Caenorhabditis elegans: one gene and its partner. The protein of the gene in region 2 interacts with the protein of the main gene of each other region in a pairwise test. Each region holds a gene or a part of one and is shown on either strand. Other genes may lie near its edges.

Region 1 (5,013 bases), on a different chromosome or scaffold from region 2:
TTTCATGTCTTTTCTTCTTTCTAGCTGATTGCAAGAAAGTAAATCGAGATTTTGACTATGAATTGAGCAAGAGAACTCTGGAATTCGCAGCGGCTGCGTATTCCATCGATCCGGAACCTTGCATCTCGAAAAACAATGCGACTTTATTGTTTTTCAAAAAGGTGGAGTGCGATTATATGCGTGACGAGGTAAAAGATCATGAGATCTTTAAATATTCAAAAATCATCTGATTTAATTTTTTCCAGTGCTGGAGTGTGATTGCTGCCGACAACGACACAATATTCGTCAGTTTCAGTGGAACAAAATCGAAAGAGCAGCTGGTAACTGAACTTATCGAAAGCATTGGTCGGCCAAAGCACAAAGTAGGCTCATGTTTCAAGTGTTTGTCTGAGTACTCACAGAGCAAAGAAAACTTATTTTACAGTTGCACAATGCTGGATCAGTTCATTATTACTTCTACTCTGCTCTAAAAACAATGTGGTCACCAATGGAAAAACTACTGCGAGGACTGAAAGACTCACTTCCAGATCATAAAATTGTGTTCACAGGACACTCATTGGGCGGAGCTATTGCAAGTATTGCATCGACTGTTTTCGTTAGAAACTTTCCCGAAACGTCGAGTCGAACCTTTTCAATCACATTCGGACAGCCTAGAGTTGGAAATCTCGAATATGCCATGACACATGACAAATTAGTTGCTGGAGGAAGCTGGAGACTGATTCATGGAAGAGATATTGTGAGGGAGACTAATATTTAAGATTTTTTTAATGCTTTATTAGGCTCAAAATGCACCCAAATGAGCGAATTTCGTAATGAAACTTCTCAAACAAGTTCGAAATTTTTTTCTGGCGGTTCAAAATATCCTCTTTCAAAAGACTATTAAAAGTTTTTTTTCTAGGTTGCACATATTCCGTTCTGCGTGGAAAGCTATGCCAGATGGTGTATACCATTCTACAATCATGGATCCTATCACCATGGAGTCGAAGTCTGGTTTCCTGGAAACATGACAAGTCAAGATACGTTCAAAGTTTGCACCGGGACTCCATTGAACGAGGACAATTTGTGCAGGCAAGTGACAGTGATCGAAATCACGTGATAAGAAAATCTTCTCTTACAGCAACACTCATCGCTACTTTGACATCAACGATCACCTGTTCTACTTTGGACACCACGTCTCAGATTACGGTGTTAATGGATGTGTAGACCCACCGGATGATGAACCATTAATAAATAATGAAAATGTTTAAATAAATTTAAAAATGTTGATTGAATTGCGATTCTTTTTCTCGTCGTTTCAACTGTTGAAAAGTCGGTTTGAGAGAATATTCTCGCTTCCGTGTGTCACGTATATTTTCTCAGGACTTTCTTTTTATTGGAGAGAGAGAGGAGGCGCCAAAGAAGATAAGACACCCGCGAACTCGAGTGTAAGAAGAAACAAGGGAGGAGAAGAGAGAAAGAAAGGGATGGTTGAACACAGAAAATGAATTGTTGGTTATTTTTCTTTTCGTTTTCGGTTTCCTACTTTATTGTTATGGAAGATTGTGTCTACTTTCTTCCCATTCATAACACGAACCTTCTTTCTTTCTTTCTCTCTATCATTGCCTGTTTTTCTTTCTCTCCGGCGCAATAATATTATTATTGATTTCTTAATATTTGATTAAAATGATAAGCCTTTGTCTTCGGAATCATTTTGATAAGAGACGATATCATTTCGGCTAGAAATGTTGCAGGAGAACGAGATGCCTGGGCCAGCCGGCGTACCGCAGCGCAAAATGACGTATTTCGTGCCGAAGAGTGGTCAGTTTACTTTAAAAGAGGACTTACCATTTTTTTTTGCTCTTTTAGACTCGAAATGTGCCCAAATGAGCGAAATTTAAAAAGATAGTTTATTTCACATAATTTCAATTAAAATTGATTTCCGTCCGTTTCGACATGGAAAATTTGGCAAAATTGAAGATTTTAGCTAAAATCAAATAGCCCATTTTTTTTCGAAATTTTGAGCCGTTTTGGACGCATTTTGAGTTGAAAAAGTGCATAAAATTGATCGATTAGCCCTATTTTATTTTCATTCCACATTGTCTTCTCAAAAATCTCAATTTTCAGACAACTCAAACGAGCAGGTTCGAGTTCCAAACGTCATCGCACTTGTCGGACTGCCGGCACGTGGCAAAACATACATCTCACACAAACTGTGTCGTTACCTCAACTGGATTGGAATTAAGACCAAAGGTTGGTCCTGATTCGATTATATGTACGACATGAAACAAAAAATCAAAATTACAGCATTCAATGTCGGCGAGTACAGAAGAAGAGCGTGTAATTTGGAAGAAGAAGGCGAAAATGAGTTCTTCTCGCCAAACAACGCCAGAGGTCAAAAGATCCGAGAGTGAGATTTTACGAAACTATGAAGAAAAAAAATTAAAAAAATTCCTGAATTTTCAGTGAGTGCGCGAAATTAGCCATTGAAGATATGGGAAGGTACTTGGATAACAAGGAAGGAGAAGTGGCGGTGAGTTACAAAGGAAAAAATTTCAAAAAAATATATAGACATAAACTTTTTATTCAGATTCTCGACGCGACAAATACTACAAGAGACCGACGAAAGCTTCTGATGGAGTTTTGCAGAAATATGATGCACGAGCCACCATTCCGTGTCTTCTTTGTGGAATCTGTTTGTGATGATCCTGATATTATCAACTCGAATATCACGGTAACCTTTAGATCTTCAAAATAATCACCTTAACCCGCATATTTTCAGGAAGTGAAAATCAATTCGCCAGATTATAAAGGAATAATGTCTCAAGAGGAAGCAAAAGAAGACTTTTTGAAGCGTATCGAGAACTATCGAATGCAATATGAGCCACTTGATGAGGATCATGATGAAGAGCTGAGCTATATCAAAGTTATCAATGCCGGAAAATCCTTCTATGTTCACAATGTTAATGGTCATGTGCAGAGTCGTGTTGTGTATTTCCTGATGAATATTCATCTTCTTCCAAGAAGTATTTATTTGTCAAGAGTAAGTTTAACAAAAAAACCGAAAAAATTTTGCGCTAAAAATAGGTAACAGGTCTCGACGCGAAAATTTTTATTAAATGCCAAAAAGTGTGCGTCTTTACAAACTACTGTAGTTTCATTTTTTTTGCTGCCGAGTTTTCATTGAGTTTCAGTTTTCTCACGATTTGCTGTAAAAACGTTTTTATTTTTTATTTCACTTTTTGATAAATTAATATTTTTTTACCAAACAAGCTAAGAGAGCCCGTAAAAAAACTTGAATTTTAACAAATCGTGAAAAAAAAAGAAAATCAATGAAAATTCCGCAGCAACGAGAGTTTGAAATTACAGTATTCTTTAAAGGTGATGCCTTTTTTCATTTAACAAAAATGTCGTGTCAAGACCGGACACCGGTTTTTTTGGCACAAAATTCCGTTTCTGGGATATAATTCATTCAATTAACAGCACTGAGAATTATCAAGTATTTTTAAACTTTTATAGTTTAAAAATCCCTTTAAAAAATTTATTACAGCATGGAGAAAGTGAGTACAACAGAATTGGTCGTCTTGGTGGTGATTCCCCACTCAGTGAAAATGGTTTAAATTACGCTGGAAAACTTCGCGAATACTTCGAAAAAGAAGATTTGGACGATTTCCGTGTTTGGTCATCTCAAAAGATTCGTGCCGCCCAGACAGCTTCTCATCTGAAAGATCTCGCTGGTCATACAGAGTTCTGGAAATGTCTTGATGAAATCGATGCCGGAATATGTGAAGGATTAACTTATGAAGATTTCGAGGCTCGTTATCCGAAACAATTCGCTGAAAGAGATAAGGATAAATATCACTACCGTTATCCAAGTGGGGAATCATATGAAGATCTGGTTGCTCGTCTGGAGCCAGTTATCATGGAGCTTGAGAGACAATCCAATGTCCTTGTCATTTCTCATCAAGCAGTTCTCCGTTGCATTCTTGCCTATTTTACTAACAAAAATCGAGATGATCTTCCATATCTGAAGGTTCCATTGCATACAGTCATCAAGCTCACACCAAAAGCCTATTCCTGTGAGATTGAACTTTTCAAATTCGACATCGAAGCAGTCAATACTTACAGAGAGAAGCCACAATAGGAAGTATTTATTCTTTATCTAGCCAATTATCTATGCCAAATGTACATTTATTTTTTCATACAAGTTCCCATTTTTATGTCGGGCGTTTTTTTTGAGATTGCATTTTCCCTGTTTTTGAACAATTGCCTTTGAATTTAAATACGTTGTCGTTTATGTGAGAGTTATAAAGATTACATCGATTTCAATTTTATGGACTGATTGCAATATTTCTCGCTGTGTCATTTTCTACAATAATCTATTTTTAATGTATTAAACGGTCAGGAGCCACATTAAAAATTTAAAAGAAAACCAAACAAGAACGCGTAACTGAGTTGTTGTTATTTTAAAAGAAAAATCAATTCATATAAAAATTAATCCTTAAAGGCGCAGAGATTTATTCAGATGGGTCCCGACGCGCAAAAAAGTTTATGGTAATTGTGTTTGAATTTTTGCGGCTGCTTCCTCGTTTATTTTTCTTGCATTTTTCAATTTATTAAGGGAATTTTGTCGTTGTTTAAAACCATTGTATGAAAAAAACACAGGAAATCCCACATTTTTAATGGAAGTAGTTTATTTGTACTTTGAAAACTGATTTTAAACATATTCTGACAGAAAAGTGAAAAGAAAACGACATCTGAATAAATCCATGCGGTTTTAAAAAGGATTGCCAAAATATTGTGAAGTTACGATAAAAACAAAGCTGAAGCAAGTTGTATTTATTTTCTGCACATACCTGCGTCTCTTAGTGGCCTTCTTCTCTCTCTCTCTCTCTCTTTCCCAATAATCGTTCCACTATTCGGCTTTCAAACATTCTCATACACTTTCAAAAATCAATTTACAGGAAAATTGATCGAAATGTCAATATCAATGGATGACAGAGGGAACAATAGTGGAGAAGTTGGAGAATGTGAGTC
Region 2 (5,258 bases):
GGGAAATTCAAATTTCCAGTCATTTTTCCACCAAAAAATCAGTTTTTCTGTTTTTTTCCACTCAACCTTCACTTTTTCAGGCCGGCCAACAACAGGTCATCCGCACTGTCATCCGATCACAGTGACGTCATCATAATTGATTGTTTTTCTGTATTTTCGAACCCTCCTCCAATTTATTGATTTTTTCTTTTGGTTTTTTTTTTTCAAAATTTTTGAGTAAAAAATCAGTATTTGTGTAAAAGTATTTTTTTTTCGAAAAATTTCAATTTCCATAATTTTTTTTTGATTTTTTGATTTATGCGTATGTGTCCTTAACATAAATGAAGGTCTTCATGCAAATATGAATTAGCTACTAATTGAGCATTTTTCTGATTTTGTGCCAAAAAGCTGAGAAAAAAAGAGTTTCCGCCAAGTTAGGCGGCGGAGCAGCGGATATTCGATCATACGGCGGGCTCTTTTTTGCTCATTTTTCACTTTTTGTGGAAAAATACGGAGAGGTGAGTTTTCGGGCTTCTAATTGAAAAAATTGAAAAAAAAACATTTTTGAAAATAAAAAAAAATTTCGAAAATTTTTTTTTTCCATTTTTTTTCCAAATTTTTTTTTCAAAACCTTATCCAAATAATATTTACATCATTTTCAGCTAATCCTCTCGCACTTTTCACTTCAAAAAAAATGCTCATTGAGCCCTGCAAAATGTTGTTTTTCTCCCCCCCCCCCCCCCCCCACTTTCCTCTCAATTTTCTCGTTATTTTTCAGTTTTTCATTGTTTTTTTGCTCCGTTGAGCACACTTTTTTCTTTTTCTTTTTTTTATCTCTGAGTGTCTATTTATGGCACATTTTTCATTTTGAGAAAAAAAACGAAAAAAAAACTTTCGAAGCTCACACTCTCTCGGCATTTATTGCCTCTTTTTTAGGGGCTTCCGGTGAGTTTTTTTTGAGAAGAAGCTTTCAATTCAAATTTATTGATTTGAATGTGCTCATTGTGCATAGAAATCAAATTTTTTTGTTAGTTAGTTTAAATAAGAAAAAACTTTTTTTTGAATTTTTAAAAAATCGAGAAAATTTTTTTTTTCAAATTTTTTTGTGAAATGTTAAAATTATTTTTTCAAAACGTTTACTCAATTTTTAATAATTTTTTCGCTCTAAAAAATATGTGCTTTTTCAAAAAAATTGCATTATTCTTTTGCGGGAAATTTGAATTTTCAATTAATTTTTGGCTGTAAATTCACAATTTTTTTTTTACAAAATTTCTGTCAATTTTTGGAAAGAAAATCCAAATTTTCAGTCAATTTTTGGCGGGAAATTTAAATTTTCTGCCAATTTTTAACAGAAAATTGAAATTTTCAGTTACTTTCCTTTGTCAATGTTATGCCCTTTTTGTCATTTATGAAGCCATAATTTACGAAAAAAATTAAAAAATTTTTTTGTTGTAAAAATGCCCATATTTAACCCCCTGTTAACCCTCTACATTTTTCCCATCAAATTTCCCTTCAAATTGATCTTTTCCCCGTTCAGATGACGTCATCAACCTTTAAAGATTCTCTCATTTCTCTGCCCAACTCTCTCATTTTCTAATACTATTTCTTAAAAATCTTATCAAATTTTGGATGTCTTTTCTTATCAGAAAAAGAAAACTTTTGAAAGTTGAAAATAAATTAATGATTGATAACTGGAATTGGTGTTCTTTGGTGATTCGGGCTTTGGAACTTTTTGGAATTTTTTTTTGAAAATTTCAGAGAAAAAATTTAAAAAAAAAAAAGCTATATCCTTTTTTTGAAAAAATGTTAACGAAAAAAAAAAATGAAAATTTTTTTCGTGAATTTTAAACTTAAAAGTTGTACTATTTTTTCAATATAAATTATGTAATTTTCAAATTTTTGCCAATAAGTGGGCGGAGCCTCAGTGACGTCACACCTCACTTATCTAGAACTAGTTGCTGGAAAAGCAGCTGAAATCCTTCTGATTCGATTTGTATGTGCAAAAAAATAATCCCCCGACTTTATACATTTTCTCAAGTATTTTCGCGTTTAATTTATAGCTGTTAAGCCCCCTGACTGACTCCGCCCACTTTTTGGATTTATTCGAAATTAAAAAAAAATATTTCTGAAAATTTTCCAACTGAAAATGCGACCTTCCAGAAGCCATCACTTCCAATTTTTACTGAAATCAGAGACTTTTAGCCGGAAAGTGAGTTTATTTTCTGAAAATTTTGAAAAAACATTCATAAACTTCAAAATGACGTCACTCTACCGATTTTTTATATTTTTCAAAATTAAAAAACAATTTTCGAGCAGAAAATTTCAACCAACATTTGCTATAAATTTCATAAAATATATCTCTAAAAACTACAAAACTACGAGTGTTTTCGTAGCGGAACCCAAATCTTCCAAATTTTTTTAAAATTTTTTTCGAAAAATTCCTAAATTCAAAATGACGTGACTCCGCCCATTTTTGAGATTTTTCAAATTTTTTAAATTTCAATATGAGCTTGAAATTTCAGCCAACAAATGCTATGAATTTCATAAAAACAACCTCCAAAAACTACAGTACCATGGGCGTTTTCGTGGTGGGACCCAAAATTTCCAAAAAAAAATTTTTTTCTGGAAAATGTTATCAAACTTCCAGAGCACGTCGCTCCGCCTATTTTTGAGATTTTTTGAAATTGTGTGATTTTTATGAGCAGAAAAAAAAACAAATTTCATAACAACGCTCCAAAAACTACAATACGACGAACGTTTTCGTGGCGGGACCCAAAATTTCGAAAAAAAAAGTTTTTATGGAAAACAATCTCAAATTTTAAAATGACGTCACTTTACCAATATTTGAGTTTTTTTTTGAATTTTTCAATTCAATATGAGCTTAAAATTTTACAAAAGTATCCCAAAAAATTTCACGAGTGTATCTTCAATTTCTACAGTACCCCAGAACTTTTCGCGGCGGGACCCAAAAATTAAATTTTTTTTGAAAAAAATTTGAAATTCTTCAGTTTTAAAATGACGTCACTCTACCGATACTTGAGTTTTTTTTTTCGAAATTTTTCCACGCGTTTTTATAAACGTCTTTATTATCTACAGTATCCCAGAACTTTTCGCGGCGGGACCCAAAACTAAATTTTTTCGAAGAAATATTCTCAAATGTTGAAAATGACGTCACTTTACCAATTTTTGAAATTTTTTGATTTTTTTTGATTCAATATGAGCTTGAAATTTCACACAACCCCAAAGTTAAAAAAAAAATTTTTTTGCAGATGCCAAATTGCTCCTGTACAATCCGTTGCGAGTGTCGGATCACCAATTTGACCGGCGAAACTCTTGAGGCGGCTCCGGAGTATTTGAAAAAAAAGTGAGAAGAAGCCGGCTATGCAAAATTCAATCTTTTTCAAAAATTTTCAGCGCAATCCGATGGAGCTCCGCGGCTCAGATATACGAGGAGCTCAAAAATCCCGGCCATTTTCAGCTTTGTCACGTCGAAAAACGATACAAGAAAAATAAATCCAAAAGTCGTGAGTTTATCAAGAAAAACAGAAAATTCAAATTTTTCAGTCGGACTGCAATTTTTGACGCTAAACTCAATTTTGTGTTTTTTAGCCCAAATTTTTTTTGCAAAAACATGAGATTTTTGGGTAGTTTTCTTGGAAAAATGATGATAAATTTTCAGAATACCACTCCCCGGAGCGATCCCCTGCGGGGACACCTCACCATCACCGCCGCCTATCACATAATCACTTGGCGTACGGTGGAAGTATGTCGGAATTGAATTGTACACAGAGGTTTGTGAAGAGGAATTTTTTTTTTTTTGGAATTAGAAAATTGCTAAGTTTAAAATTTGTGAGTTTTTCAAAAAATAAAAAATTTTTGGACTAAATTTTTGGACTAAATTTTTTTTGATTTTTTTCAAAATTTTCCCCAAAAACTCGCAATTTGCCTTAAAATTTTTGAGTACTAAAGTACGCGTTTATTTAATTGCTCTTTTTTGCAAACTGCAGAGTACCGTTCCCCTTAAAGTAAATATTGAAAAAAAGAGTTAGGTTCATTTTTTTTGCCCCCAAAAATCACATGATTTACACAGTGAAACGTGAGATTTCCGTCATTTTTTCTTTCTGCTGTTCAAGTAATTAGAGATTAGTTTCGTTAAGTTCACCGAGCATTTTGACTCATTGGCTCAATTTTTCCAGCTGGCTTCACCTATTTTTGGGGATTAGGAATCTGATTGAAAATTATTATTGTGCGAAAATTGCCAACAAATTGCCAGAAAGTCGTCAAAAAATTGCCAAAATGTTGTTGATAGATTCCAAAAAAAAAACCACAAAGTTGACAAAAGTTGCCAAAAAGTTGTCAAGAAGTTGTCAAAATTCGCGAGAAAGTCACCAAAAAATTTACAAAAACTGACGAAATGTTGGCAAAGAATTGTCAAAAAGATGGCAGAAAGTCGCCAAAAATTGGCAAGAATTGTCGAAAAACTGCCGGAAAGCTTTGAAGTTTGTCAGGAAGCTACCGAAACTTTTGGCGACTTTCGCCAGACATTTGCCAGTTTTTGCCGGTTTTTTCCAGCTTTTTGTCAATTTTCGTTCAACTTTCCCCTATCCTTTGCAAACTAAATTTTAATTTTTTTTTTGACTTTTGTTTGGCTTTGCTAATTTAATTTTTTTTTTGACTTTTGTTTGGCTTTGCTAATTTTGTGCCTATTTTTTTGCCAACTTTCTTCTAACTTACCCAAATTAGCTCCAAACACCTGATAACTGTGTCTTATAGGTGTTTGCCAACTTTTTCATTTTATTTGTACCCCTATGCGTCACAAAAACACATCTGTCGTACTTTTCTGATTCCAAAAATAGCAAATTTTCAGTCAAAAGTCCTACAAAATAAAGGAATGACGTGTGATAATTGTTTTCCATGCCATTTCCATCAGTGTCTAATAGGAAAAAGAATACAAAATGAGCAGAGCCCCCTGAAATAATTGAGTTCCAGCTTTTTGGGAATGTGCTCCACAAAAAGTTTTTGTGCTCATTGTGCTCATTTTGTGTCAGTGCACACGAAAAAGTCTGTGATTTATAGGAATTTTCTGAGCATTTTTCGAGTTTTGGAGAGTGTTCAACAAGTTTTGCCAAATTTTTGGCAATTTTTTGCTAACTTGCTTTAAGTTTTGGCAATTTTTGCCAAATTTTGCCAATTTTACTCCAAAGATAGATAAGTTTATTGCAAGTTACGGAGACCTTTTCGCAAAATTTGACAAGCTTTAAATTTTTCATAATTTTAAC

Evidence for each region.
Region 1: the proteins of Y43F8B.2 (region 2) and pfkb-1.1 interact in a two-hybrid assay, tested with the Caenorhabditis elegans proteins (one large-scale study listed by BioGRID).

The regions. Positions count from the first base shown.
Region 1 is NC_003279.8:5,129,801-5,134,813, forward strand, and holds pfkb-1.1 (6-phosphofructo-2-kinase domain-containing protein), read left to right. Parts: upstream 1-1,719; 5' UTR 1,720-1,721; coding exon of another isoform or gene 1,722-1,739; coding exon 1,740-1,797; intron 1,798-2,103; coding exon 2,104-2,229; intron 2,230-2,283; coding exon 2,284-2,386; intron 2,387-2,442; coding exon 2,443-2,509; intron 2,510-2,566; coding exon 2,567-2,710; intron 2,711-2,758; coding exon 2,759-3,019; intron 3,020-3,526; coding exon 3,527-4,120; 3' UTR 4,121-4,305; downstream 4,306-5,013. Other genes in the region: Y110A7A.7 (Fungal lipase-type domain-containing protein), read left to right, coding at 1-188, 246-362, 425-736, 899-1,068, 1,118-1,247; Phosphatidylinositol-3,5-bisphosphate 3-phosphatase mtm-1, read left to right, coding at 4,967-5,006.
Region 2 is NC_003283.11:19,529,978-19,535,235, reverse strand, and holds the start of Y43F8B.2 (GSKIP domain-containing protein), read left to right. Parts: upstream 1-2,125; coding exon 2,126-2,188; intron 2,189-3,248; coding exon 3,249-3,343; intron 3,344-3,393; coding exon 3,394-3,503; intron 3,504-3,658; coding exon 3,659-3,770; intron 3,771-5,258. Other genes in the region: Y43F8B.1 (Prion-like-(Q/N-rich)-domain-bearing protein), read left to right, coding at 81-125.